Linked DNA regions of Anolis sagrei. The protein of the gene in region 4 purifies or fractionates together with the protein of the main gene of each other region. This does not show direct contact. Links are inferred from orthologs where the notes say so. Each region holds a gene or a part of one and is shown on either strand. Other genes may lie near its edges. The genes, in order: FBXW7, BAG3, NCL and HSF1.

Region 1 (7,467 bases), on a different chromosome or scaffold from region 4:
TGGCCGGGCTCAGGTTGCATTGTAGTAAGTGGTCTGTGATTTGCTCTCCTCCACACTCACATGTCGGGGATTCCACTTCATAGCCTCATTTCTTAAGAGTGGCTCAGCATCTCATTGTGCCAGAGCACAGTCTGTCCAGCACCTTCCAAGTCGCCCAGTCTTCTGTGTGCCCAGGAGGGAGTTTCTTATCTGATATCAGCCACTGATTGAGGTTCCGGGTTTTAACCTGCCACTTTTGGACTCTCGCTTGCTGAGGTGTTCCTGTGAGTAGCTCTGCAACTATTTCTTGACTTAAGACATTGATATGCTGGCTGATATCTGAACAGAGGATGGGCCTGAGATGTCAATGCCTTGGTTCTTTCATTACTGGCTGCTAGTTCCAGATTGATGTCAGGTGATGCAATGCCAGCTAAACATTGTAATTTTTCTAGCGGTGTAGGGCGTAGACATCCTATGATAATGCTGCATGTCTCATTGAGAGCCACATCCACTGTTTTAACATGGTGAGATGTATTCCGCACTGGGCATGCATATTCAGCAGCAGAGTAGCAAAGTGCAAGGGCAGATGTCTTCAATGTGTCTGGTTGTGATCACTAGGTTGTGCCAGTCAGCTTGCGTGTGATATTATTTCTAGCAACCACTTTTTGCTTGATAATTAGACAGTGCTTCTTGTAAGTTGGAGGATGGTCTAAAAGTAACTCCCGGGTATTTTGGTGTCCTGCAATGCCCCAGTGCTTCTCAGGTATAAGATTCTACAAGATTCCCTTCTATAAAAATAAACAGATCAATAAAAACTTTTCTTGGTGTCTTAGTTTTTAGACATGCATCTGGGGTTATTTTGGGCACTGATTAAACAAATTACATTGGATAGATCACATCAACTCTATTTTCTTTGATACGGTTATAGTGATTTTCCATCTATGAGCAGATGGTGACTGGTAGATGGCATATATTATGTATCTCAAAAACTAGAGTGGATGGGAGGAAACTGGTGTTATTTTTGTAACCAACAGGTCAAATATACCCAGAAACAACCAAAATATAACTTTGCATACCACTTTAAACAGAACTGGTTCACAGCCACAGAACAAAAACAGCTCACCTAAGAACTGAAAATTTGGAATTTTAGTCAGAGTTATCCTCAAAGGTCCACAGCCATCTTTATGTTCTACCTACTTTATCCTTCTCTCCTTACTGGTGTAATGTCTTCAGCTAAATTTTATAAACTCTAATTTTTGCTTAGTTTTACATTTTGGTGTGATTATTGGTCCCAACAGGCCAAGGGTCTAAAAATACATGCAGAAATGCTGAGCTGTGACACAACAGTATATCATTTTTGCAGAAGGAACAAATCAGTTTCCATAAGTGCTTGGAGAACACATTCTCCTCTCCACAGGATGACTCTCCATTGGGCAAACTTTACTGTGGAGCCAAGCAGCAGGCCAGCACTTCTCAACCTGTGGGTCCCCACGTGTTTTGGCCTACAACTCCCAGAAATCCCAGCTGTTAGGATCTCTTTCACACTAACTGACAGGTGCATGCAGTATTACATGGGTATTTTCCTTTTTGGCTGGGCTCTGTAATGTTTTAGAATAGATCATATTTGAAATTGGGAGACAGACCTGCCAAGATGAAAAGAGCACTTTCCAAGAACCATAGACAGTGATAAGGAGCATTTTCTTGGTTATCTCCTGCTTAATCTTTGGCCAAGTGAGTATTCCCCTTGTGATCGTACGTCCGAACATTTGGGAAAACTAGATTGTCTGACTTTACTCGGGGGTTAGCTGATACCTTCTTTTAAGATTAAGACCCTTAGCAGAGGAACTTTAGGCAAGGTGGAAAGATAATCAAAAGAGTTTACTGAAACAAGATGAATAAAGGATTAACTCCACCCAGGACTATAATAAGGAGGAGACTTTACCTAAACTACAAACCTCAGAATTCTGCAGGAGGCAAAAACAGGATTTTAAGTGGATTTTTTCTCTAGTGTGATTAAGTTTAAGGTAACATAATACATTACAAAAGGAGATTTTGCTGGTTGCAGTCATCTTTCTGGAATCTTTGAAAGTCTCTTGCCTCTGGTGCAAAGTGATGGTTATAAACTGTCTTAATCTTCCTTGTGAAGCTTAGGCTGGCCAAAAGCTTCTGTTGTCCTTTGGACTAATGGTATAAAATACTGCTAAATGCAGGTGCTAAGAATGTCTTTTTATTGATTGCTTGGCCTAGGATTACCAGACAATGCCCCAAGCCTCTAGTGTCTGTAGAGAAAGGAGGAGTTCAATAAGAGAGGAATAGGGAACTGGAATAGATCAACTAAGTCTGACCTCTGGGGGGGTGTAATGCTTTCTGTTAGCAAAAAGGCACAAGTAATAAATAAATAACTTTAATTATATCCCACCCTAGCTCCCCGAGGGGATCCTTTCCAAATTACTTTGAAAACTACAACTCCCATGATCCCATAGTATTGACCTATGGAAACAAAAAAGGTCTCAAACTGCATTAATTCTATGTAGCCATCATCCCACCACTGCTCAGTGAGGGATTGTTGTTGTTTATTTGTTCAATTGCTTCCGACTCTTTGTGACCTTATGAACCAGCCCATGGCAGAACCCCCTCTCGGCTGTCACAACCCCCAGCTCCTTCAGAGTCAAGCCAGTCACTTCAAGGATACCAGCCATCCATCTTACCCTTGGTTGGCTACTCTTCCTTTTGCCTTCCATTTTCTCCAGCATCATTGTCTTCTCTAAGTTTTCCTGTCTTCTCATGATGTGGCCAAAATACTTCATGTTTGCCTCTAATATCCTTCTCTCCAGTGAACAGAGGGGTTTTATTTCCTGAATTATGGACTGGTTGGATCTTCTTGCGGTCCAAGGCACTCTCAGAACTTTCCTCTAACACCACAGTTCAAAAGCATCAATCTTCCTTTGCTCGGCCTTCCTTATGGTCTAACTCTCACATCTGTAGGTTACTATCATTGCTTTAACTATGCAGACCTTTGTTGCCAGTGTGATGTCTCTACTCTTCACTATTTTATTGAGATTGGTCATTGCTCTCCTTCCAAGAAATAAAGGTCTTCTGTTCTCCTGGCAGCACTCTGCGTCTGTAGTAATCTTTGCCCCTAGAAATACAAAGTCTTTCACTGCCTCCACGTTTTCTCCCTCTATTTGCCAGTTATCAATCAGTCTTGTTGCCATAATCTTGTTTTTTTTAATGTTTAACTGCAACTAAGCTTTTGCACTTTCTTATTTCACCTTGGTTAGAAGGCTCAACTCCTCCACGCTTTCAGCCATCAAAGTGGTGTCATCTGCATATCTAAGGTAGTTAATGCTTCTTCCAGCAATTTTAACCCCAGCCTTGCATTCTTCAAGCCCTGCACATTGCATGATGTGTTCTGCATGCAAGTTGAATAGGTTGGGTGAGAGTATACAACCCTGCCGTACGCCTTTCCCAATCTGTTGTTCCATGGTCAGTTCGTACTGTTGCTACTTGGTCCTTATACAGATTCTTCAGGAGACAGGGAGGGACAGTCATTTTTAAAAGTAACTTCCCAAGTTCTCTAATAATGCTCTTTTCTCATGCTGTTCTCTTCAGCCACATCATATGTTCTTCTAAGGGCCCTTCCACACAGCCCTATATCTCAGAATATTAAGGCATAAAATTCCACACTATCTGAGTGTGGACTCAGATAACCCAGCTCAAAGCAGATATTGTGCCTTGATATTCTGGGATATAGGGCTGTGTGGAAGGGCCCTTTGAAGAACATATGGTGTGACTGAAAAGAACAGCATGAGAAAAGAGCATTATTAGAGAGCTTGGAAATGTACTTTTAAGAATGACTATCCCTCCCTGTCTCCTGAGGAATGTTTGATGACCAAGTAGCAACAGTACGAACTGACCATGGAACAACAGACTGGTTCAAGATTGGGAAAGGCGTTCATCAGGGCTGTATACTCTCACCCAACCTATTCAACTTGTTGTGTGGAAGAGGCCTTAATTGTCTGATCGAATTAAGGGGGGGGGGGGATCCTAGGAAAGTGTATTTCCTAAACTCTAGCCTTCCAGGAATTCTGAACTTCATCCCCCAGAATCCCTGATCATCGACCAAGGCAGCTGAGGCTTCTGGGAGTTGAAGTCCACCGACCTGGAGGACTATTCTGGGAATCGCTATAATCGAATCAACCGCGTTCGCCTACCGAGGGGAACGCGCAGGCGCGGAAGGGGTTAATATTTCCAGAGTCCAAATCCCCGACTGCGCCTGCGCAAGTCCTTGCGACGGGATTGGCTCGCCGCGTTGGCCTCTTCCAATCGCTTCACGGCGGCGTTTTCATCTCTTCTCCATACATTCCATAGAGACGCTGCACAGCCGTCGCAAAACCCTCGACGTCACCGCCTCGCGACGGAAACAGGAGGCGGGCGGAGAGGGCTGCGGTTGCCTGGTTACGGCTGGCGTCATTTCCCCGCGCCGTGCCTTGTCTTTTCCCCTCCCTCAGCGCCCTCGCTGCCTGTGTCTCTGTGGTGCGCGAGGGAGAGAAAGCGAGCGTCTCCGGAGCCACCCGCCGGCTTCCTTGCTTCCTTCCTTCCTCGCTGCCTCTCTTCGGGCGAGACCCAGTCACCCTCATGCCTGGGAGCCGGGCGGGAGCGCCGCTGAGCCTAGCCGCCGCCGCCGGGCTCCGCTTCCGCGCTGCCTCCGCCTGGCTGGGGCCCTAGCAGCGCCCGAGGAGAGGGTTTATGAGAGCCAGAGCCGGGCGGGGGCCGCGGCCCGACCCTCTCGCCGCCACCGCCGCCTCCTCCTCCGCCTCCCGCGGGGGGAAGCGGCGGGCAGCGCTCTCGGGGCAGAGGGGGCGGGCGCGGGCGGCCCAGGCGGCGTGGGAACAGGAGGCGGCGGCGGCCACACGCCCAGCCAGGGAAGCCGAACAGGAGGAGGAGGAGGGCCTCCGAGGGACCCGTCCTGGGCGCCTCCAAGCCTCCGGATCCCCGCAGGTCTGGGCGTGAAGCTCCTTCTCGGGCCCAGCAGGAAAGACCGCCGGGCGTCGCCGGTCCTGCTGCTGCTGCTGCTGCTCTCGCTCCCGAAGTGAGTAATTCTGAGAAAGGGATGTGGAAGGGAAGGGGAGTGTTCCCGGTGGCTGTTTTCGACCTTCCAGGAGGTGCACGTGGGGTGGACACTCGCCTCCTCCTCTTCCTTTTCCTCCTCCTCTTCCTCCTCCCCTTCTTTCTTCTCTTCCTCTACCTCCTCCCCTTCATTCTCTTCCTCGTCGTCGTTTTTCTCTCTTCCTCTTTTTCTTTCTTCCTCCTCTTTCTTCTCTTCCTCTTCCTTCTTCCTTCTCTTTCTCCTCTACCCCCTTCCATCATTTTCATTCTCCTCGTCTTTTTTGTCTTCCTCCTCTTCTTCTCGTTCCTTTTCTCTTCTCTTCCTCTACCCCCTTCATTTTCTTCCTCGTTCTCTTTTTTCTTATCCTCTTCCCCTTTCCCTTCTTTCTTATCCTCTTTCCCTTTCCCTTCTTTCTCCCTCCTCCTTCATTTTCTCACTCCTCTTTTTTCACCCCTCCTCTTATTTCTTCTCTTCCTCGTTTTCCTCCTCCTCATCCCTTTTCTCTTGCTTCTCCTTAGCATCCCCCCTTCATTTTGTTTCTAATTTTTCTTCTTTCGCTTCCTCCCCCCCCTTCATTTTCTCTCATCTTTTTTCCTCCTCCTCTTTCTTTTCGTCCCTTTTCTCTTTCTTCTACTCTACCTCCCCCTTCATTTTCTTCCTCTACTTTTTCTCTTCCTCCTTCTCTTCTTCTTCACCATCTTTCTTCTCTTCCTCTACCCCCTCCCCCATCATTTCCTTCCTCCCCATCCTTTTTCTCTTTATTCTCCTCTTCTTCATTCTTCTTTCTTCTCTTCCTCCTCCCTCTTCATTTTCTTTCTCGTCTTTTTTCTTTTCCTCCTCCTCTTTTTCTCCTTGTCCTTTTTCTTTCTTCTATTCTACCTCCCCCCTTCATTTTCTTTCTCTTCTTTTTTCTCTTCCTCCTTCTCTTCCTCTTCACCATCTTTCTTCTCTTCCTCTACCTCCTCCCCATCATTTCCTTCCTCCCCTCTTTTTTCTCTTTATTCTCCTCTTCTTCATTCTTCTTTCTTCTCTTCCTCCTCCCTCTTCATTTTCTTTCTCATTTTTTTCCACTTCTTCCTCCTCCTCTTTCTTCTTGTCCTTTTTCTCTTTCTTCTACTCTACCTCCATTTCTTCCTCTTCTTTTTTCTCTTCCTCTACCTCCTCCCCCTTCACTTCCTTCCTCCCCATCCTTTTTCTCTTTATTCTCCTCTTATTCTTCATTCTCTTCCTCTTCTTTATTATTATTTATTTCTATCCTGCTTTGCTCCCAAATTGGGACTCAAAGCGGCGAACAACAAATAAAAAGCAAAGACGTAACATACCATAAAAATAATCAGTACCAACATGAGCATAATCAAAAATTATAAAAAACCCACATCAAACTTAATTAGCATCTAACAAAAAAATAAAAACATTCAATAGATTAAAACCCCATTCTTTCGCTTTCTTCTCTTCTGTCTTCTCCTCTTTCTTCTCTTCCTCTCTTTTTTCCTCTCTCCCCTCCCCCACCATTTTTGTCTTCCTCCTCTTTTGTGGGGTAGGGAGAGGAGGGGGCTGCCCTGCTAAGCAACCTTAAGCACTTCAGATGGAAGACTGGAAGTTCTCCAGGTCCTTGCAGTTTCAGCTTCCATTTTATTCACTTAAATGTGTGTTCTAAAGTTAAATGGGTGTTTTCTCTGACCTCTTGTATGAAGAATCATGCAGGTAAAGTTCTGAATAAGAGGAGCACTCTGCAAGAACTCTTAGTGTGTTTGTTTGGAGTTTAATTTATCCAGCAATTTCAAATCTTTGATACATACAGTTTTCTAACCCCTTCATGCAAAATAGACTAAAGTCCCCATTTACCCTTTAATGCCATTTCAAATGAATGTAGAAGAAAGTGGTTTCACTGTGCAGATTATTCCATAGAAAATCCGGGAACCCGTTTGGGGCCTGGATAGTGATTCCACCAACCACATGAAGGGTTTTCTTTCACGTGCTTACATGGAAGTTTCTTGCCTATCCCTTGCAGTTTGAAGTTAGCTTCGGATTGCATTAAATGGTCAGTGTAGATGGGGGCCTCTGCCTCTTGTTTCATATGCGCCTCACGTTGCAGGGTTCTCTGCACGGTCTGCTGCGCTAAGTGACCCTCCCTTTCAGCCGGGAAATCTCTCTCTCTCTTTCCCCTCCCTTCCCTTGTCTCTTTGGGGTCAGGCGGAAACCATTGGTGTGTCTTGAGGGTTCTTTAAATGGCTTTGTTGGGTAGTTTAATGAGAAGAGAACTGGTCCAGAGAGCCAATCAAATGAGCTCGGACATAGTATTTGTTACCAGAGTCTGTCTCTTTCTCTCCCCCCCCTTTCCTTTTCTCAGCAACAGAAAGTAGTTTAGATTCTTCAGA
Region 2 (7,527 bases), on a different chromosome or scaffold from region 4:
AGGGAGTGAACAAAGCTTTGCACACACAAAGATACTTTGGGCCATAGGCACACACTCCCCTCACGTACAAACTCACGAAGTCTGCCTCAAGGATCTTGGTCTACTCTCTGAAACCTGTGAGGAGAAATCAGGGTCATGTTTCTCCCAGGCACTCAACTTTGGGGGTCAAAAAATAAATGCCCTATACCCCAGGATCTGATCCCAGGTTTTCTGCTTTAAACCAGCTTATAGGAGTCCGCACTGACAGATAATGTGAGATAAACAGAAAACCTGGGATCAGATCCTGGGATATAGGGCCAGAAGGGCCCGAAGTGGGTTCCCTCAAAACACACACACATCACTGCCCCACGTTTAGTCCTCCCTCCTCAATCTCCTTCACCTTTACCTCCAAAGAAGGCAAGTAAATACACTGAATAGCCAGCCATAAAGGTAAAAAAGGCAAATCACTGAGAGGCTGGCCATGAAGGCAAAAAAGTAACTGAAAGACCTGCCATAAAGGTAAAAAAGGCAAATCACTGAGAGGCCAGCCATGAAGGCAAAGAAGTAACTGAAAGGCCTGCCATAAAGGTAAAAAAGGGCAAGTCACTGAAAAGTCAGGCATGAAGGCAAAGAAATGAAAAACCTGTCATAAAGGTAAAGATACTAAGGTAACTGAAAGGCCAGCTATGAAGGCAAAGAAGGCAAGTAAGCAAAAGGTCAGCCATGAAGTCAGAGAAGAGAAGTAAGTGAAAGGCCAGCCATGAAGGCCAAAAAAAAAAAGTAAAAAAAAGAAGTAAAAAGCCAGCCATTAAGGTAAGAAAAGGCGAGTCACTGAAAGGCCAGCCATAAAGGCAAAGAAGAGAAGTAACTGAAAGGCCAGCCTCGAAGGCAAAGTAAGGCAAGTAATTGAAAAATCTTTCATAAAGGTAAATAAATCAAGTAAGTGAAAGGCAAGTCATGAAGGCAAGGAAGTGAAAGGCCTGTCACAAAGGTAAAGAAATCAGGTAACTGAAGGTCCTTCCACACAGCCTTATATCCCAGGATATCAAGGCAGAAAATCCAACATTATCTGAGTTTGTAGATTCAGATAACGCAGTTCAAAGCAGATATTGTGGTATTTTCTGCCTTAATATTCTGGGATAATAGGGCTGTGTGGAAGGGCCCTGAAAGGCCAGTTATAAAGGCAAAGAAGAGAAGTGAAAGGCCTGTCATAAAGGTAAATAAATCAAGTAAGTGAAAGGCAAAGAAGAGAAGTAACTTAGGGCTCTTCCGCACAGCCCTATATCCCAGGATATCAAGGCAGAAAATTCAATATCTGCTTTGAACTGGGTTATCTGAGTCAACACCGCCATATATTCCAGTTCAAAGCAGGGAATGTGGGATTTTCTACTTTGATATTCTGGGATATAGGGCTGTGCGGAAGGGCCCTGAGAGGCCAGTTATAAAGGCAAATAAGAGAAGTGAAAGGCCTGTCATAAAGGTAAATAAATCAAGTAAGCAAAAGGCAAAGTAACTGAAAGGCCTGTTATAAAGGTAAAGAAGACAAGTGAGGAGGGCCCTTCCACACAGCCTGATATCCCAGAATATCAAGGAAGAAAATCCCACATTATCTGAGTGTGTAGATTCAGATAACGCAGTTCAAATATTCCAGTTCAAAGAAGGGAATGTGGGATTTTCTGCCTTGATATTCTGGAATATATGGCTGTGAGGAAGGGCCCTGAAAAGCCTGTTATAAAGGTAAAGAAGACAAGTGAGGAGGGCCCTTCCACACAGCCCTATATCCCAGGATATCAAGGCAGAAAATCCCACAAATATCTGCTTTGAAGTGGGTTATCCAAGTCCACACTGCCATATATTCCAATTTGAAGCAGATATTGTGGGATTTTCTGCCTTGATATTCTGGGATATAGGGGTGTGGAAGGGCCCTGAAAAGCCAGTTATAAAGGTAAAAAAGACAAGTAAGGACCTAATCACACTAGAGAATGAATCCACTTTAAATCTGGTTGCTTCCTCCTGAAGAATTATGGGATTGGTAGTTTGGGGGGACTCTTTAACAGCCTCACTAAACTACAAACCCCAGAATTCTGCAGGAGGCAGAAACTGGATTTAAAGTGGATTCATTCTCTAGTGTGATGAAGTAGTGAGCGAAAAACCTGTCAAGTAAGTGAAAGGCCAGCCATGAAAGGCAAAGAAGGCAAGTAATTACAATGTACTAAGCAAGGTTCTTTCCCAAATGTCACAACTAATTCCATTCAAGACATAGAAAGGTCAAAGCAAGTTGGGGAGGAGTTGTATGCCAGGGGGAGACTCTGGGGTCATGTTTGGGTTGAGAAGAAGTCGCTACAAAATGACATTTCCCAAAGGAAGTTTCTCTGAGCCTGTTTCCCCGCCTCCCTTTCCCTCTGGTGGAGTTTCCCCACTCAAGGCGAGTCTGGGGCGAAACCCCTTGCCCTTGGAGTCCTCATCGGAGCCTCTTCGCGTCTTTAATAAGGACGGGAAGCCGGCCTGGGGGGAGGTTTGTGTGTGTACCTTGCGGTGGTCGCCCTGCTGCGGCAGCCTGGGGTCGCTCCAGGTGGTGGTGCGGCTGTTGTGGTCCACGAAGAAGGGCCAGCCGGTCTGCGGGTCGATTTTCACCTCCCAACCGGGCGGTAGCGGCTCCCGCTCGCCCGCCCCACCGGCCTCGGTCGGCCGCAACGCCGGGGACTGCGCCGCCGCGCTCATCCTACTGCTGCTGGTGGTGCTGCTGCTGCTACTGTTGCGAGAGCGGCTGTCCCTGCTCCTAGCTCTGCCTCTTCTGCTGCCTCTTCTGCTGCTGCTGCGACTGCGGCGCCTCCTCCTCCTTCGCCAGCCATGCACTGGGCAAGCAAGCGAGGCCGCCCCACCCGCCAAGCCCCTTTATGGCTCGGAGGGAGAGAGAGGGAGGGGACGGCGAAGGGGGTGGAAGGGTCTGGAAATAGCAGAGGAGGAGAAGAGGAGGAGGAGGAGACAGGGGAGGAGGAGCAGCAGCTGCCCGGCTGGAAACTTCTGGGCGCCTCGCCTCACAGCTCCTCCTTGAGTCACGCTCCCGCCACTAGGATTATTGTCACGGCGGCTATTACTCGCCACCCGCCGCTCTCCGCTCCATTATGACGGAGCGCGCCTCCCGGGACCGCCCCCCGCCTCGCCGCTCAAGGAGAAGCCAAGCCTCCCTCTTCCCTCTTGAGCGCCCATGAAGGGGGACGGCGACCCAAAGTCAGGCCGGAGCTGATTTGGTCATTTATCGTGCCAGGAGCGAACCAAACAGTTGAATTGCATTTTAAAAACACACACACACACAAAACCCCCACAAAGTTCGCACACTTGGCATTCTATTATTTGTTATTATTTGAGACACAACAAGATGAGTCCACAGCAGACCATAATAAATAATAGAATGCCAAGTTTGCAAACTTTGTGGGGGGTTTTGTGTTTTTAAAATGCAATACAACTATTTGGTTCGCTCCTTATTTATTATTGTTGTTCATTCGTTCTGTCGTTTCCAACTCTTCGTGACCTCATGGACCAGTCCACGCCAGAGCTCCCTGTCAGCTGTCACTACCCCCAGCTCCTTCAGAGTCAAGCCAGTCACTTCAAGGATGCCATCCATCCATCTTGCCCTTGGTCGGCCCCTCTTCCTTTTTCCTTCCACGGTGGTCCACGCTTTGGTTACATCCCGTTTAGATTACTGCAATGCTCTCTACGTGGGGTTGCCTGTGAAGACTGCCTGGAAGCTCCAACTAGTCCATAGTGCGGCAGCGAGAATGCTAACACGAGCAGGGTACAGGGAGCATACTACTCCTGTTGCGCCAGCTCCACTGGCTGCCAATTAGCTTCCGAGCACAATTCAAAGTGCTGGTGTTAACCTATAAAGCCCTAAACGACTCCGGCCCTGTTTACCTGTCCGAACGTATTCTCCCCTATGAACCATCTAGGTTGTTAAGATCGTCTGGAGGGGCCCTGTTCTCGGTCCCACCAGCCTCTCAGGCGCGTCTGGTCGGGACGAGGGACGAGGGACTTCTCGGTGGTGGCCCCTCGACTCTGGAACTCTCTCCCACTGGAGTTCAGAACTGCCCCCTCCATTCTGTCATCCAGAAAACGGGTGAAAACCTGGCTATGGGGTTTGGCTTTCGATGAGTGAATCAATATTTCTGTGATTGGATAGATGATGATGAATGATGGACAACAAATTCACTATGACGACTGACCATTGTTATTATGTGATTGCATTTTGCTGTTATAACGTTTTAATTGAATATGTTATATGATGTTTTTAATTATTGTTTTGTGATTTTATTGTTGGAAATCGGCCCAAGTCCCCTGATAGAGGGGAGAAGACCGGTATACAAAATTGCTAAATAAATAAATAAATAAATTTTCCCCAGCATCATTATCTTCTCTAAGCTTTCCTTTCTTCTCATGATGTGGCCAAAGTACTTCATCTTGGCCTCTACTATTCTTCCCTCCAATGAGCAGTCTGGCTTTATTTCCTGAAGTATGGACTGGTTGGATCTTCTCACGGTCCAAGGCACTCTCAGAACTTTCCCCCAACAGCACAGTTCAAAAGCATCTATCTTCCTTCACGCTTTCCTAAGGTCCAGCTCTCACATCCATAGGTGACTATGGGGAATACCATTGCTTTAACTATGCAGACCTTCATTGCCAGTGTGATGTCTCTACTCTTCACAATTTTATCGAGATTGGACATTGCTCTCCTCCCAAGAAGTAAGCATCTCCTGATTTCCTGGCTGCAGTCTGCGTCTGCAGTAATCTTTGCACCTAGAAATACAAATTATTTATTATTATTATTAATTATTAACTTTATTTGTACCCCGCTAGCATCTCCCGAAGGACTCGATGCGGCTTACACAGGCCGAAGCCTCAAAACACAATACAATAAAGGACGTAACATCACAATAACAAAGCAAATCAAACAGTAAGCAAAATATCATAACTCCACAATAACTAAGCAAATCAACAGTAAGCAAATAAGCAAATAACGACAATGGCAGAACGTCAGGACATTATTAAAACAGGTTCGGCCGGCGCAATGGGGTACAAGGGTTAAAAGTGCTGAAATGGTAGGAGGCACGTAAGGTTGAAAGTGCAGTGTGCAGCGACAATTTATTATGCTAAGGTGCTACTAGGACTTAGGTGGGGATTTCTAGTCTGGGAAGGCACAACGGAACAGCCAAGTTTTTAAATTCCTTCTGAAAACGGCTAGAGTGGGGGCCTGTCTGAGATCTTTTGGGAGGGCGTTCCAAAGTCTGGGGGCCGCCACAGAAAAGGCCCTGTCCCGCGTCCCCACCAAGCGCGCTTGCGACGTGGGTGGGATCACGAGCAGGGCCTCTCCGGATGACCGTAACGAGCGTGTGGGTTCGTAGATGGTGATGCGGTCACGCAGGTAGGGTGGTCCCGAACCGTTTAGGGCTTTGTAGGTAAGCACCTGCACCTTGAATTGGGCTCGGAAAATAAAAGGCAGCCAGTGGAGCTCCTTAAACAGAGGGGTAGACCTCTCTTGATAATGAGCCCCGGTTAGCATCCTGGCTGCTGCCCGCTGGACCAATTGAAGTTTCCGAGCCGTCTTCAAGGGCAGCCCCACGTAGAGCGCATTGCAGTAATCCATTCTAGAGGTGACCAAGGCGTGGACCACCCCGGCCAGATCAGCCTTCACGAGGTATGGTCGCAGTTGGCGCACAAGTCTCAGTTGCGCAAAGGCCCTCCCGGATACCGCCGACACCTGAGCCTCAAGTGTAAGCGAGGAATCCAAGAGGACACCCAAACTGCGGACCTGTGGCTTCAGGGGGAGTGTAACCCCGTCCAACACAGGTAACCACCCTATACCCCGATCCGGTTTACGATCGACCAGGAGGACCTCTGTCTTGTCGGGATTGATCTTCAGCTTGTTCTTCCTCATCCAGATCGACACAGCGGCCAGGCACTCACCTAGCACCTGAGAAGCCTCCTTGGAATTAGGTGGAAAAGAGTAGTAGAGTTGCGTGTCATCTGCGTAGAGATGGCACCCAACTCCAAAACCCCGGATGACCTCTCCCAGCGGTTTCATGTAGATGTTAAAAAGCATGGGAGACAAAATAGAGCCTTGCGGGACCCCACAGGTCAAAGGCCAGGGGTCAGAGCAGGCATCTCCCAGCTTCACCATCTGAGTTCGTCCCTCCAGGAAGGACTGGAGCCACGACAGAACCGTGCCCCCAAGGCCCATCCCGGAGAGACGACCCAGAAGGATACCATGATCGATGGTATCGAAAGCCGCTGAGATGTCCAAGAGAACCAGCAGAGTCACACTCCCCCTGTCCAGCTCTCTGTGGAGGTCATCCACCAAGGCGACCAAGGCTGTCTCGGTGCCATGACCAGGCCTGAAACCAGACTGTGACTGATCTAGGTAGTTGGTATCGTCTAGGAAACCCTGGAGCTGAGAGGCGACCACCCTCTCCAGCACCTTACCCAAAAAGGGGAGGTTGGAGATCGGCCTGTAGTTATTCAGCACCGAGGAGTCAAGGGAAGCTTTTTTGATAAGTGGGCGAACCACGGCCTGCTTCAGGTTAGATGGAAAAATTCCTTGCTCCAACGATGCATTGATAATCGGTACAAACCAGTCAAGCAACCCCCCTCTGGCTGATTTAATGAGCCAGGATGGGCATGGGTCCAGGGATGAGGTGGTCGCTCTCACAGCCCCAAGGATCTCCTCCACGGTTTCAGGAAGAACAAGCCTAAAAGAATCCCATAAAGTTAGACAAGCAGGTGCCTCCGTCACCTCTTCTGGCACTGCGATGGAATTGGAGTCGAGCTCGAGGCGTATCTGGGCGACTTTATCTGCAAAATGGTGTGCGAAATCGCGACACCGAGCTGTGGGGTCGTCGGGGACCTCCTCCACCGCTGGTGGGTGGAGGAGTTCACCCACGACCCGAAACAGCTCCGATGATCTATTTGCTGCAGATGCTATATGAGCGGTCGTGAATGACTTCCTGGCCGCCCGTATGGCCACGGAGTATGCCTTAAGAGAGGCTCTAGCCCGTGCTCGGTCAGACACGTCTCGAGATTTCCTCCATTTGCGCTCTAGCCCCCTTCTCGTATGCTTCATCACAGCCAACTCCTCGGTGAACCAAGGAGATGGCCTGTCACAATGCAACGAGATGGGGCGTTCGGGTGCGATCGTATCTAACGCCCTGGCCATCTCCCCGTTGTAGAGAGTTACTAAGGCGTCGATAGAATCGCCAGGCTCCAAGGCAGGAAGAACCCTAAGATTCCTCAGGAATCCATCCGGATCCATCAGTCTCCTAGGGCGGACCATCTTAATTTGTCCTCCACCCCTGCGGAGGTTTAGGGTCGCAGTAAGTCTAAATGTGATCAGATGATGGTCAGACCATGACACTGGAAGGATGTTTTGATCTTCCACTCTGATCAATTCGTCGTCCGCCACAAAGACGAGGTCGAGAGTGTGCCCAGCTTGATGCGTGGGGCCAGATATTATCTGTGACAGTCCTATGGCCGTCATGGTGGCCATAAAGTCCTGAG
Region 3 (7,347 bases), on a different chromosome or scaffold from region 4:
GGGTTGAGAAGGGCAGGGTACACATATTTGAAATAAAAATAAATATCCCAGATTATATGGCAGTGGATACTTTGGGCCCTTCCACACAGCCATATAACCCAGAATATCAAGGTAGATAATCCACAATACCTGCTTTGAACTGGGTTATCTGAGTCCACATTGCAACATAATCCAGTTCAATGTGGATTTATACAGCTCTGTGGAAGGGACCGCATATAATCCAGTTCAAAGCAGACAACCTGGGATCAGATCCTAGGATATAAGGACAATGTAGTAGGAACATTGGGCTGGATCTACACTGCCATATAAGCAGATCACCCACATTATGTGCTTCAAGCTGGATTATATGACCGATACACCATTCCAAAGCAGATAATCTGGATTTGATGTTCAAGTATCAGTCTTCCAACAGATATGAAAATCCATTCCGAAGCACAGAAAGAAGCCAAATTTGGAAATCAACACCTGCAATTGTGTAAAATCCACATTGAACTGGATTATCAGGCAATGTGGACTCTGGGCCCTTCCACACAGCCATATAACCCAGAATATCAAAACAGAAAACCCCACAATATCTGCTTTGAATTGGGCTGAATCCATACTGCCATATAATCCCGTTCAAAACAGAAAATGTGGGGTTCTATTCAGATGCATGAAAGGGGCCTATGTTTTAAGCCGCCCTGAGTCCCCGCTGCGGAGATAAACAGGGCAGGATAGAAATTAAGTTGCATTCATTCATTATCTGACTTGATATTCTGGGTCGTATGGCTGTGTGAGTCTACACTGCCAGATAACCCAGATCAAAGCAGATATTGTGGATTTGTTTATTTGTTGTTTGTATACACCTTTCTCAGGCCATAGGCGACTCAAGGCAGTTAACAGGGCAAAATTCAATGCTTACAATGTCTTAAATACAATTTAAAAACATAACATATAACAAAAACTAAACAAATCAATAAAATATAAATTCATAGTGTCTCCTTGTTAAAAATGTTGTCCGGACTCATTGTCTAGTCATAGAATCCTAGAGTTGGAAGAGACCTCTTGGGCCATCCAGTCCAACCCCATTCTGCCAAGAAGCAGGAATATTGCATTCAAAGCACTCCTGACAGATGGCCATCCAACCTCTGTTTATAAGCTTCCAAAGAAGAAGCCTCCACCACACTCTGGGCAGAGAGTTCCACTGCTGAACAGCTCTCGCCGTCAGGAAGTTCTTCCTCATGTTCAGATGGAATCTCCTTTCATAGAATCAAAGAGTTGGAAGAGACCTCATGGGCCATCCACTCCAACCCCATTCTGCCAAGAAGCAGGAATATTGCATTCAAATCACCCCTGACAGATGGCCATCCAGCCTCTGTTTAAAAGCTTCCAAAGAAGGAGCCTCCACCACACTCCAGAGCAGAGAGTTCCACTGCTGAACAGCTCTCACAGTCAGGAAGTTCTTCCTCATGTTCAGATGGAATCTCCTCTCTTGTAGTTTGAAGCCATTGTTCCATTGCATCCTAGTCTCCAGGGCAGCAGAAAACAAGCTTGCTACCTCCTCCCTAGGACTTCCTCTCATGGCTATCATGTCTCCTCTCAGCCTTCTTTTCTGCAGGCTAAAAATGCCCAGCTCTTTAGGCCGCTCCTCATAGGGCTTGTTCTCCAGACCCTTGATCATTTTAGTCACCCTCCTCTGGACACATTCCAGCTTGTCGTTCCAGTCGTTCCATTGTCCTATGTCAGTTACTCTGTAATTGCAAACGCTTGTTGACTTTTCTCCAGAATGTTAAAATGGAAGTGGCCGATCTAATATCTATAGGGAGAGTGTTCATCAGCCAAAGAGCCACCACCGAAAAGGCCCTGTCTCTTGTCTCCGCCAAAGGTACTTGTGACGAAGGCGGTAACGAGAGCAGGGCCTCCCCAGACGATCTTAAGGTCCTAGATGATTCATAATGGTAGATGCATTCGGACATGTAAGTTGGGCCAGAACCATTTAGGGCTCTATAGGCTAAAATTGATATGGATATTTATAGGCTAAATTTTGTAAATTAGGCTTTATAGGCTAAAACTGATATTGACATTCAGAGGACCTTTCCACACAGCTGAATAAAATCCCACATTATCTGCTTTGAACCAGATTATATCCACAATATCTGTTCAAAGCAGATATTGTGGATGGTCTGCCATGATATTCTGTGTGGAAGGGCTTAGAACAGGCATGGGCAAACTTGGGCCCTCCAGGTGTTGTGGATTTCAACTCCCACCATTCCTAACAGCCCTCCAGGTGTTTTGGACTCCAACTCTCACCATTCCTAACAGCCTACTGGCTGTTAGGAATGGTGGGAGCTGGAGTCCAAAACACCTGGAGGGCTGTTAGGAATGGTGGCTGTTAGGAATAGTGGGCGTTGGAGTCCAAAACACCTGGAGGGCTGGGTTGTAGTTTTTTTTGGGCTGTATGGCCATGGTCTAGAGCAGAGGTCTTCAAACTAAGGCCCGGGGGCCGGATGTGGCCCTCCAAGGTCATTTACTCGGCCCTCGCTCAGGGTCAACCTAAGTCTGAAACTACTTGAAAGCACACAACAACAACAACAATCCTATTTCATCAGCCAAAAGCAGGCCCACACTTCCCATTGAAATATTAATAAGTTTATATTTGTTAAAATTGTTCTTCATTTTAATTATTGTAGTTTTTTGCACTACAAATAAAATATGTGCTGCGTGCATAATATTCATTCATGTTAGGCCCTCCAACAATTTGAGGTATTGTGATCTGGCCCACTTTTTAAAAAGTATGAGGACCCCTGATCTAGAGGTATTCTCTCCTGAGGTTTCGCCTGCACTTTGGCAAGCATCCTCAGAGGTAGTGAGGTAACAACCTGGAGGGCTGTTAGAATTGTGGCTGTTACAAATTGTGGGAGCTGGAGTCCAAAACACCTGGGGGGTTGTTATGAATTGTGGCTGTTAGGAATGGTGGGAGTTGGAGTCCAAAACACCTGGAGGGGTGTTAGGAATTGTGGCTGTTAGGAATAGTGGGCTTTAAGAGTCCAAAACACCTGGAGGGCTGTTAGGAAATGTGGGAGTTGGAGTCCAAAATACCTGGAGGGCTGTTAGGAATTGTGGCTGTTAGGAATAGTGGGCTTTAAGAGTCCAAAACACCTGGAGGGCTGTTAGGAAATGTGGAGTTGGAGTCCAAAATACCTGGAGGGCTGTTAGGAATTGTGGCTGTTAGGAATAGTGGGCTTTAAGAGTCCAAAACACCTGGAGGGCTGTTAGGAATTGTGGCTGTTAGGAATAGTGGGCTTTAAGAGTCCAAAACACCTGGAGGGCTGTTAGGAATTGTGGGAGTTGGAGTCCAAAACACCTGGAGGGCTGTTAGGAATTGTGGGAGTTAGGAATGGTGGGAGCTGGAGTCCAAAACACCTGGAGAACTGTTAGGAATTGTGGCTGTTAGGAACTGTGGGGGTTGGAGTCCAAAACACCTGGAGGGCTGTTAGGAATGGTAGGAGTTGGAGTCCAAAACACCTTGAGGGCCGTTAGGAATTGTGGCTGTTACAAATTGTGGGAGTTGGAGTCCAAAACACCTGGAGGATTGTTCGGAATGGAGGGAGGTGGGAGTCCAAAACACCTAGAGGGCTGTTAGGAATTGTGACTGTTAGGAATAGTGGGGTTTAAGAGTCCAAAACACCTGGAGGGCTGTTAGGAATGGTGGGAACTGGAGTCCAAAACACCTGGAGGGCTGTTAGGAATTGTGGGAGTTGGAGTCCAAAACACCTAGAGTGCTGTTAGGAATGGTGGGGTCCAAAACACCTAGAGTACTGTTAGGAATGGTGGGGTCCAAAACACCTGGAGGGCTGTTAGGAATTGTGGGAGTTGGAGTCCAAAACACCTAGAGTACTGTTAGGAATGGTGGGGTCCAAAACATCTAGAGTGCTGTTAGGAATGGTGGGAGTTGGGGTCCAAAACACCTGGAGGGCTGTTAGGAATTGTGCCTGTTAGAAATTGTGGGAGTTGGAGTTCAAAACACCTGGAGGGCCCAAGCTTGCCCATGCCTGGCTTACAGACACACAAGAACAAACCGGATCCAGAGCCACAAAATGGGCCGACCCCACGCGGTTGCAGGCAGAGGGCGCCGCCACGTGTTCTCCTTACCACTTCCGTCTCTGCGAAACGGACCTATCAGGAAGCGTAGAATTCCCAGTTTTGTCATCTTATTGGCTCGGCGACGTGTCGTCCCGCCCTCGAGTTCAGGGGCGGTGTCTGATTGGGCGGAGCGAGTCGACGCGGGATTGGTGTGGGGGAAAGCCCGGAGTGGGCGGAGCTTGGGGCTGCGCGGTCTCCCATTGGCTGAGGCGGCAGCGTGGGGCGTGAGGGAGAGCGCGGCGAGCCCTCGACCTCGCTCTTTTCGCTTTTGGCGGAGACTGGAGAGCGCGGCGGTCCCTTCTTTCTCTCTCTCCTTGTAGGCCTCGCTCCACATCCGGGCATCTCCCAGCGCCGCCATCATGGTGAAACTCGCCAAGGTGAGGCTTTGAGGCCTAGCCTCACTCATTTAGAATGGAAGGAAACCCAACGAATGAAGGGGGGAAAGGGTTTTTTTTTAGTAGGCCTTGTGCGCGTGCGCAGCAGTTTCAAGGCCTCCCGTTCCTTCGCTTCTACACAAGCGAGGAGGCAGCAGTTTCAAGACTCCCCTTCTCCCTTTTCCTACTACTTATTTATTTATTTTGGCGCGCAGGCGCAGATCGAAATAGAACGCTCGGCGGTTTCTAGGACTCCCCCCTTTTTTTTCTTCTAAAAGGAAAAGAGCGAGCGCGCGCGCATACGCGCAGGAGTTTCTAGGCGCCCGCGCTCTTTCTTTTTTTCCCCCTTTTCTCTGTGTTGAGCGGCGCGCGCAGCCAACGGAGAGGGGAGGGGCTGGGAGGAAAGAGGAGCGAGCAAGGAGCGGTGTGCGCGCGCACTCTCCCTCTCCCGCCTGCTCTCCCGAAGCCACGTGATCTCAAACCACGTGGGTGATGGAAGGAAGGAAGGAGAGGAAATGCTCAGCCTAGGCCTCGCTTCCGGGGCTTCCACGTGGTTTTCGCGTTCTGCTCAAAAGAAAAAGGGACCCTTAAAAAGACCCTCCAGTCCAACCTGTAATTCTGCCATGCAGGGAATGTACACAAACCTTTGCATTATATTGTACTGTGTTGGCCTTTATATTCCTTGGAAGGGACCCCTAAAGGCCATCCAGTCCAACCCCCTTTTTGGGTTTTGCTCAAAAGAAAAAGAGACCCCTTAAAAAGACCCTCCAGTCCAACCTGTAATTCTGCCATGCAGGGAATGTAAACAAACCTTTGCATTATATTGTACTGTGTTGGCCTTTATATTCCTTGGAAGGGACCCCCAAAGGCCATCCAATCCAACCCTCTCCTGCCATGCAGGGAATTATAGCCTTTTCATATTGTATTGATATTGTAGTGTACTGTGTTGGCCTGTATTAATTGCTCTTTATATTCTTTGGAAGGGGCCCCCCAAAAGCCATCCAGTCCAACCCCTCCTGCCATGCAGGGAATCACAACCTTTTCATATTGTTGTGTTGTATTGTACTTTGTTGGACTGTATTGATAGTACTTTCTAATCCTTGTGAGGGACCCCTAAAGGTCGTACAGTCCAACCCCCTTCTGCTATACAGGGAATTGTATTGTATTGTACTGTGTTGGCCTGTATTAATTGCTCTTTATATTCCTTGGAAGGGATCCCTAAAGGCCACCAGTCCAACCCCCTTCTGCCATGCTGGGAATTACAACCTTTTCATGTTATATTGATAATACTTTCTAATCCTTGTAAAGGACCCCCAAGGCTATTCAGTCCAACCCCCTTCTGCCATGCAGGGAATTATAGCCTTTTAATATTATTGTATTGATAGTACTTTCTAATCCTTGGAAGGGACCCCCAAAGGCCATCCAGTCGAATCCCCTTCTGCCATGCAGGGAATTGTAGTATTATATTGTATTGTACTTTGTTGGTCTGATTTAATTGCTCTTTATATTCCTTGGAAGAGACCCCCCAAAGGCCATTCAATCCAACCCCCTTCTGCCATGCAGGGAATTGTAGTATTATATTGTATTGTACTGTGTTGGCCTATATTAATTGCTCTTTATATTTCATGGAAGGGGCCCCCAAAGGCCATCCAGTCCAACCCCTTCTGCCATACAGGGAATTTTAGTGTTTTATTATATTGTACTGTGTTGATTACCCTTTATATTCCTTGGAAGGGACCCTAAAGGCCATCCAGTCCAACCCTTTCAGCCATGCAGGGAATTACAGCCTTTTCATGGTATTGTATTGTATTTTCTAATTCTTGGAAGGGACCCTAAAGGCCATCCAGTCCAACCCCCTTCTGCCATGCAGGGAATTATAGCCATTTCATATTGATAGTACTTTCTAATCCTTGTAAGGGACCCCCAAAGGCCATCCAGTCCAACCCTTTTCTGCCATACAGGGAATTGTAGTATTATTATATCATATTGTACTGTGTTGATTACCCTTTATATTCCTTGGAAGGGATCCCTAAAGGCCATCCAGTCCAACCCCCTTCTGCCTTGCAGGAAATTGGAACCTTTGCATTGTATTGTACTGTGTTGGCCTGCCTTGATAATGGTTTCTAATCCTTGGAAGGGACCCCCTCCCCCCCAAGGACATCCAGTCTAATCCCCTTCTGCCATGTGCGAAATTTATGTATTGCATTGCACTTTCTAAACCTTGGAAGGGACCCCCAAAGATCATCCAGACCAACCCCTTTCTGCCATGCAGGGAATTTGAACCATTGTATTGTACCATGTTGGCCTGTATTGATTGCCCTTTATATTCCTTGGAAGGACCCCTAAAGGCCATCCACTCCAATCCCCTTCTGCCATACAGGGAATCACAACCTTTTCATATTATTTTATTGCATTGTATCATACTTTGTTGGACTGTATTGATAGTACTTTCTAATCCTTGTAAGGGACCCCCAAAGGCCATCTAATCCAACCCCCTTCTGCCATACAGGGAATTGTAGTATCGTATTGTGTTGGCCTGTATTAATTGCTCTTTATATTCCTTGGAAGTGACCCCCAAAGGCCATCCACTCCAACCCCCTTCTGCCATGTAGGAAATTTTTAGTATTATATTGTACTGTGTTGGCCTGTATTAATTGCCATTTATTTATTTATTTTAAACATTTTAACTGTATCTAAATAGGAATATCTTTATATTCCTTAGAAGGGATCCCCAAAGACCATCCAGTCTAACCCCCTTTTGCCATGCAGAAAATTATAAACTTTGCATTGCATGGCAATTTCAACCTTTACAACCTTTGGCCTGTATTAATTGGCCTTTATATTCCTTGGA
Region 4 (7,824 bases):
CATGTCATTCTGGGGTCAAACGTCCTGTCTCATTGGAAACACCTTTAGGAAGAGTACTGGCGGAATGGGACAGGGTTGCGTCGCTGACGCAGGCCAGTAGGGTAAAAAAATCGCATGGAAAGGTGGCCCACCAGGCCCTCAGCAGGTGGAGTTTCGTGGCCCCTCATGGCAGTCGGATCGCTGTGAGGGGGCCAAGGGGACCGAACTCGCCTCTGCCTCATGCTTTTTTGCCATGTGCCGGAGGAGGTGGAAGGGGGGTAGTTGTGGCCAACTCCTACCATGCAAGGGGAAGGTGACAAAGCCCCAACCCCCAGGAAACCCCCTCCAGACCTTTCCCCCCTCCCTTTGAAAATTGCTTGTTCCCCTACCATCCCATTCCCATTTCCCTTTACCCAATCTCCCTGACTCCTTCCTTCCCTTTCCAACCCCTCCATTTCCCTATTCCCTATTATGAAATGTCTGCATCCATATGCCCCTCCTAAATTTTTTTCCCCCCTGTTCCTTGAGGAAATGCGCTAGGGAAATTCTTTGCTCTCCTCCTCTCCTGCTTTCTCCTGTGCCACCTTTTTTTCCTTCCTTCAGATGGGAAAAGGAGGCATTGCTCATTCCCTTCTCCCCCAAGCTACTACAAAATCCCTTCTTTCTCAAGCTGAATCTTCAGTGCCTGTTTATTTATAATAAACAGTGTTTCTCCTCGCCAGGAGAGACCCTGCCACTGATGTGACTCAGCTGCCTTGCAAAAGTCTCTCTCTCTCCTGGTCTCCCTGACCCAAGAGCTCTCTTTTTCTCCCCTTCTCTTCTGTGCAACTACAAAACCCATTTTTCAGGGGCAGTCACCAATGTCCCTGCCTTATCCTTTGTTCTCTCTTTACTCCCCAACTTCCCTTTTTTTCTCTCAAAACCCCTCCTCCCTTTCTCCTCTCGCAAAGGGAGGTGTAAGAGGGGACCTTTTCTGTTCCTGTTTCCTCTTGCCAAACAAAGTTTTCTGGCTCTCTCTCTCTCTCTCTCTCCCTGCTTTTCCCCTTTTCTCTCTAAGAGCCAGACCTCACCAAAGAGTTCCATGTGCTTGTGAAATGTCTCTGAAACCCATCCTTTCTCTCTCTCTCTCTCTCTCTCTTCCCTCCCCTCCCATCCTCTAAGAAGCCAGTATTCTGTGAATTCTTTCCTCTATCTCCCAGAGGAATCCTGCTGCTCCCTCTTACCTCCTTCTCCAAAAAACCTAAGGAAGGGATGTTCCAGAAGCATTCCCTCCTGACATTTCACCCACATCTGTGGTTAAATCTCTCTCTCACACACACGCAGTCCCTCTGATGCTCTTTTCCTTCCTGGCCCTTCCTCCCTCCCCTTTCCCTGAGCGCATGTATGTGTATGTCTAGATTATCCCATTAACTGCCTTAAATATGAAGGGGGCGTCGAGGTCCAGGGGTCCCCTCTGCGCAGTAAAGAGCAACTGATCAAACTGTGGGACCCATAATCCACTCCTGCCGCTGAGGACAACTACCTGGGCGAGGTGAGCAAGGGAGGTCTGTGGACTTTCCTGTGTGGAACCCAGATGGCACAGGAAGATCCCAGGAGAACAGGACCAGACCCCATGCCGCCCAGAAGAGACAGCCCCTCCTAGAGGCTGATCTGAGCCCCCACGGGGGAATGCCATCGCAGGAGGAGCAACCAGGATCCCACAGCAACTGCCATGAAGGAAGGAGGCCCTGCCCGTTCCAGAAGCTGTGCAGAGGGGTGGCCCAAAGGAGACCACTGACGCCCCCACTAGGTATGAAAGTTTTTTCCCTTTTGTTTCCCCACTAACTACCCTTGGGCTGGGAAGGGGGGGGGGTGGGGGGGGCTGTAAACCTTCTTTCTGACTGTCCTAGACACTATCCCTGAGTCTCTGTGATGATGGAGAGCCGGACCGGTCTGCGGTCACCAGGAGACGCCACGCCAGAAGGAGTAGCAAGGCTGTGCCCCATCTTCTCCCTCCCCCAAGTGCCAAGGGAGGAGCCAGCGCCCCCAGGAGGCCTGAGGACCACGGCCAGATGGGAGGATTCCACCATGTGCCATCCTTCTCCATTGGGAACTCACTCTGGACCCCTGAGTGCTCCATGCTGACGGCCATCACAGGCTCCATCATCCCCTGCCTCCACCGTCTTCACCTTCTTACTTCAGTCTCTTTTTCTTTCTCCAACCCAAAGAACACTCCGCCACTGGTCTCTCCCACCCTGCTGGGTCCTGCTGTTGTTGCTTGAGTGGGGCCCCGAAATAATCAACAGAATACAATCTAATCAGTCTAGAAAGAGGCCCTGAGTGCTTGGGGGGGGATTGTCGAGGCTTGAGGAAATGAGTGTGACCATTTCCCAGCCTCGAAGGGAGGATTTGATGCAGAGCATCTTTCCCCCCCCCAAGTATTTGTAGTTCACCAAGGGCCGGACAATGGATTCTGCTGCTTCCTGACCCAGATGGGACATAACTGGGTTCCTGTTTCCTCTCTGTGAATTCTCTGGCTTGTGCACTGGACCCTGGCCCCTGATCAGGGAAATGCAGTTCCCCAAAGGACATTGCCCCACTCTCCACTATTTGCAGATTCTTTTGCGGACCTTTCTGCCCTCTCTGATCGACTTGGTGCCCTAACATCACGGACTTCCTCCATGAACTCAAAGCCAAGCCGCTTGGGGAGAAAGAGCCCCCCGCCTGTGTGTGCGTGCCCTTGTTGAAAAGGATCATACCTCGGGAACTCTGCTGATTATCTCTATCAATTGCTGTGGTTTTCTAATAAACTTTACTGGGATGGGATGGGGATCTTTCCTATGGAATCTATGAGTTATGAAAGCCTATGAAGAAAATATGTATGAAGTATATGATATATGATGAAATGAAATGAAATGAGATGTACCCTCACCCTCCTTCCTTGCCTTTTCCCCTCTTGAACTTTGCCCTATTGAAAGATACGTGACCTGGGGTTACAGTAAGGAATCCAATTTCCTTGGAAAAAACTCCATTCATATTGACATTGCATGGACAAATACTGGTCACATCTGTGGCTTTGTTTTCAGTGTCAGACGAACAAAGCCAGAGATTTGCCAGCCAAAAACCCGGAAAAAACAGACTGATTAAATCAATCAAGGTGTTTTGTGTACGCTCCTTTGTGACAAAGGACCCCTTTGCCCACAAGGTTGAGATCCAGACACCACCCATAGCCACCCTTTTTGCCTATACACATCTTCTTATCGGAACCCAGGAAATCCCTTGTTCCCCCGTCTGCCTCCCCTGCCGTGAAACAACAAAGGGTGTTCAATCAGCTGGCGGACGCCTCCCAGGCATTCCGCCCCTCCACGCTGTCAAAATACATCCCGCCTCCTGGCCGCTGATTGGACAATCTCCGGAGGCGCTCCGAGGGCTCTGATTGGCCCCCTGGAGGCGACAGCGGCCGGCGATTGGAGGGAAGGCGGGACCAGCGGCCAAGCCTCCTCCCAGCTGTTCTGGAGCCGGCCAATCAGGACAGAGGGAACTGACAGGAGGCGGGCGGGAGATTCAAACCAGGATTTCTTTGTTTCTTCTGTATAAATATGCCTGAAATTCACTGTACTGCATGCTTATTGTGGATTCATCCCTTTAATGCATCCTTTTCAGCTGAATCGCTAAATAAACGCCTCGGTCGCAGATCTCCTCTTCAGCCTCTGGTGAGATTGATTTTCAACGTTTTTGCGTCTTTTTGAATTGGCATCCGCTGGCAGCTCACCAAGGTCGGGACCCCATTCGCGGTCCTTAGGGACTCGCCTCGCTGGGAGTACCCCCCAAAAGAGCTCGATATCAGGAGCAAGCTTCCTTTCTGCTGCCCTGGAGACTAGGACGCAATGGACCCATGGCTTCAAACTACAAGAGAGGAGATTCCATCTGAACACGAGGAAGAACTTCCTGACTGGGAGAGCCGTTCAGCAGTGGAACTCTCTGCCCCGGAGTCTGGTGGAGGCTTCTTCTTTGGAAGCTTTGAAGCAGAGGCTGGATGGCCATCTGTCAGGGGTGATTTGAATGCAATATTCCTGCTTCTTCGCAGAATGGGGTTGGACTGGATAAAGGCCCATGAGGTCTCTTCCAACTCTTGGATTCTAGGATTCTATGATTCTCAAGCACGGCTGGCGGGGACTTTCTTGGTGGTGGCTCCTCGGCTGTGGAACGCCCTTCCTACGGACATTAGACTAGCACCATCTCTAATGGTATTCCGCAAAAAAGTGAAGACCTGGCTGTTTGTGCAGGCGTTCGAATAATTAGTGCAATGATTGGTTAATGAACATTGGAACGGAATAATGGATGACGAATCTGGATCATGTTTCTGATGATGAGATGATAGCGAATAGTGAATGGTTACTGTAGTAATTGTTTATTAATTATGTACTATGTTCGGGTTGTTGAATGTGTTTTTATACCGTGGCCTTGAATTTTTGCTGTTTTTGCTGTTCTAATTGTTGTGAATTGCTGTGAGTTGCCTTCGGGCTGAGAAGGGCGGTATATAAGTAAAGTAAGTAAATAAATTAATAAATGTAAACAAAAATAGAGCATTCTAAGCGATGTAAACAAAAATAGCTTGGGGCTTTCTGAGTTTTTTTCAGACTACAACTCCCAGCAGGCATTATGAACGCTGCCTTTGGTGCGCCCTTCTGGGAAATGTAGTCCATTTTTTGAAAAGAAAAGATGCGCATGCGCAAAATTCTAGATAAAGGATATGAGAGAGAGCGAACTGTGTTGCTGAGGTCTTTTTGCAGGCAGCACTGCGCGTGCGCACTCCTTCGAGGGAGCCACTGCGCACGCGCGGGGCCGTCCTTGCTGAGGGGGGCGTGTATGCGCGAAGTGCGCGTGCGCAGGATTCCCCCAAGATGGCGGCGGCCATGCCTGGATTTTCTGAGGCGCTGCTGAGTGCGCAGAGAAGGGCGTCCGGCCTGGTGAGGGCCCGCTAGCCGAGCCTGCCTTGCCGGCTGGGAGTCGGAGCGAGGGCCTCCGGAGGAGGAGGACGAGGAGAAGGGCCGGGCATGGAGGCCTCGGGCGTGGGCGCGGCCGGAGCGGCGGGCAGTAATGTGCCGGCCTTCCTCACCAAGCTCTGGACCCTCGTCGAGGACCCCGAGACAGACGCCCTCATCTGCTGGAGCCCGGTGAGGAGGAGGGAATCCGAGGGAAGGAAGGAAGGGACCCCCCAAGGCCATCCAGTCCCACCCCCTGCCAGGCAGGAGAAGCACCACCAAAGCCCTCCCGACAGGTGGCCCTCCAGCCTGTGCAATCACCAAAATAATAGCAGCCACCCAGGAGGAGGAGGAGGAGGGCGGGCATCCGAGGGAAGGAAGGGACCCCCAAGGCCATCCAGTCCCACCCCCTGCCAGGCAGGAGAAGCACCACCAAAGCCCTCCCGACAGGTGGCCCTCCTGCCTGTGCAATCACCATAATAATAGCAGCCACCCAGGAGGAGGAGGAGGGCGGGCATCCGAGGGAAGGAAGGGACCCCCAAGGCCATCCAGTCCCACCCCCTGCCAGGCAGGAGAAGCACCACCAAAGCCCTCCCGACAGGTGGCCCTCCTGCCTGTGCAATCACCATAATAATAGCAGCCACCCAATCTGCCATGAGGGAAAAGTACAGTCAAAGCACTCCTAACAGATGGCCACCCAGCCTTTGTAATAATAATAATAATAAGGAGCCACCCATTAAAGAATCCTAGAATCCTAGAGTTGGAAGAGACCTCCTGGGCCATCATCCAGTCCAACCCCATTCTGCCAAGAAGCAGGAATATTGCATTCAAAGCACCCCAGACAGATGGCCATCCAGCCTCTGTTTAAAAGCCTCCAAAGAAGGAGCCTCCACCACACTCCCTCTGGGGCAGAGAATTCCACTGCTGAACGGCTATTGATGCAGGATTTTGGCCTGCATCAATAGGAGCCTAGTGTCTAGATCTAGGGAAGTCATGCTCCCCATGCTTTATTCTGCTTTGGTTAGACCACACTTGGAATATTGTGTCCAATTCTGGGCACCACAATTCAAGAGAGATATTGACAAGCTGGAATGTGTCCAGAGGAGGGCGACTCAAAGGATCAAGGGTCTGGAGAACAAGCCCTATGAGGAGCGGCTTAAGGAGCTGGGCATGTTTAACCTGAAGAAGAGAAGGCTGAGAGGAGATATGATAGCCATGTATAAATATGTGAGAGGAAGCCACAGGGAGGAGGGAGCAAGCTTGTTTTCTGCTTCCTTGGAGACTAGGACGCAATGGAACAATGGCTTCAAACTACAAGAGAGGAGATTCTATCTGAACATGAGGAAGAACTTCCTGACTGTGAGAGCCGTTCAGCAGTGGAACTCTCTGCCCCGGAGTGTGGTGGAGGCTCCTTCTTTGGAGGCTTTTAAACAGGGGCTGGATGGCCATCTGTCAGGGGTGATTTGAATGCAAAATTCCTGCTTCTTGGCAGAATGGGGTTGGACTAGATGGCCCAGGAGGTCTCTTCCAACTCTTTGATTCTATGATTCTATGAACGCAGTTCACAACAGAGCAAAAAGGCGGTCATATCAAAATAGCAGTAAACAATTTAAAACCACGAGAGCATAATATACAAGTAATGGCACATCAATAACAACACAATAACGTCTCGTAACTAGAATCGTGAACCAACTCGTCGTCTATAATTCCGTTCCTATATTCATCGTATTCATTGCACTGTTTATCTGAATGCCCGTTCAAACATCCAAGTTTTTAATCTTCTTCAGAACACCATCAGCGAGGGGGCTGATATTACCTCCATAGGAAGGGTGTTCCACAGCTGGGGGGCCACCACAGAAAAGGCCCTGTCTCTCATCCCCACCAGCCGCACCTGTGAAGCAGGCGGGATCGAGAGCAGGGCCTCCCCCGAAGATCTTAGAGTCCTGGTGGGTTCATAGGCAGAGATACGTTCGGATAGGTAGCTTGGGCCAGAACCATAATAATAGGAGCCACCCAGTCCAACCCCCTCCTCCTATGCAGGGAAAGCACAGTCAAAGCACCCCGAACCATTGAAATAATAATAATAATAATAATAATAATAATAATAATAATAGGAACATCCTGCCATGCAGGGAAAGCACAGTCAAAGCACCCCTAACACATGGCCACCCGGCCTTTGAAATAATAATATATTTCAAGCCACCCAGTCCAACCCCCCATCTGCCATGCAGGGTAAGCACAGTCAAAGCACCCCCAACAGATGGCCACCTAGCCTTTGAAATATTATTATTATTAATAATAATAATAATAATAGGAGCCACCCAGTTCAACCCCCATCTGCTATGTGTGGTAAGCACAGTCAAAGCACCCCCAACTGATGGCCACCCAACCTTTGTAATAACCATAATAATAGGAGCCACCCAATCTGCCATGCGGGAAAAGCACAGTGAAAGCACCCCCACATTGAAAGCACCACAGTGAAAGGCCACCCAGCCTTTTAAATAATAATAATAATAATAATAATAATAATAATAATAATAGGAGCCACCCAGTCCAGCCCCCTTCTGCCATCCAGGAAAAGCACCATCAAAGCACTGCTGATAGATGGCCATCCAGCCTCTGCTTAAAAGGAAGAAACTTCCACATGACTCCAAGGCAGAAAGTTCCACTACTGAACAGCTCTTCTTGCCGTCAGGAAGTTCTTTCTAATAAAGTTCAGGTGGAATTTCCTTTCCTGTAATTTGAACCCATGACTCAGCATCTTAGTTTCCAAGGCAGCAGAAAACAAAGCTTCTCCCTCTTCCTTTTGACATCCTTTCACATATTTATACAGCTGAAAATACCAGTTGGATCAAGGGAAGTCATGATCCCACTCTGTTCT

The links.
Region 1: the proteins of HSF1 (region 4) and FBXW7 purify together in Homo sapiens (affinity purification with western blotting; 4 studies listed by BioGRID, with this or other methods). This does not show direct contact. The link is inferred for Anolis sagrei from reciprocal best matches to the Homo sapiens genes HSF1 and FBXW7.
Region 2: the proteins of HSF1 (region 4) and BAG3 purify together in Homo sapiens (affinity purification with mass spectrometry; 3 studies listed by BioGRID and IntAct, with this or other methods). This does not show direct contact. The link is inferred for Anolis sagrei from reciprocal best matches to the Homo sapiens genes HSF1 and BAG3.
Region 3: the proteins of HSF1 (region 4) and NCL purify together in Homo sapiens (affinity purification with mass spectrometry; 3 studies listed by BioGRID, with this or other methods). This does not show direct contact. The link is inferred for Anolis sagrei from reciprocal best matches to the Homo sapiens genes HSF1 and NCL.

What each region holds. Positions count from the first base shown.
Region 1 is NC_090025.1:50,919,868-50,927,334, reverse strand, and holds the start of FBXW7 (F-box/WD repeat-containing protein 7), read left to right. Parts: upstream 1-4,449; 5' UTR 4,450-5,071; intron 5,072-7,467. UniProt on the Homo sapiens protein: Substrate recognition component of a SCF (SKP1-CUL1-F-box protein) E3 ubiquitin-protein ligase complex which mediates the ubiquitination and subsequent proteasomal degradation of target proteins.
Region 2 is NC_090023.1:202,041,431-202,048,957, forward strand, and holds the start of BAG3 (BAG family molecular chaperone regulator 3), read right to left. Parts: upstream 3,003-7,527; 5' UTR 2,701-3,002; coding exon 2,509-2,700; intron 1-2,508. UniProt on the Homo sapiens protein: Co-chaperone and adapter protein that connects different classes of molecular chaperones including heat shock proteins 70 (HSP70s), e.g. HSPA1A/HSP70 or HSPA8/HSC70, and small heat shock proteins (sHSPs), e.g. HSPB8.
Region 3 is NC_090023.1:267,120,584-267,127,930, forward strand, and holds the start of NCL (nucleolin), read left to right. Parts: upstream 1-4,340; 5' UTR 4,341-4,481; coding exon 4,482-4,499; intron 4,500-7,347. UniProt on the Homo sapiens protein: Nucleolin is the major nucleolar protein of growing eukaryotic cells. It is found associated with intranucleolar chromatin and pre-ribosomal particles. It induces chromatin decondensation by binding to histone H1.
Region 4 is NC_090024.1:2,717,699-2,725,522, forward strand, and holds the start of HSF1 (heat shock factor protein 1), read left to right. Parts: upstream 1-4,818; 5' UTR 4,819-5,015; coding exon 5,016-5,135; intron 5,136-7,824. UniProt on the Homo sapiens protein: Functions as a stress-inducible and DNA-binding transcription factor that plays a central role in the transcriptional activation of the heat shock response (HSR), leading to the expression of a large class of molecular chaperones, heat shock proteins (HSPs), that protect cells from cellular insult damage.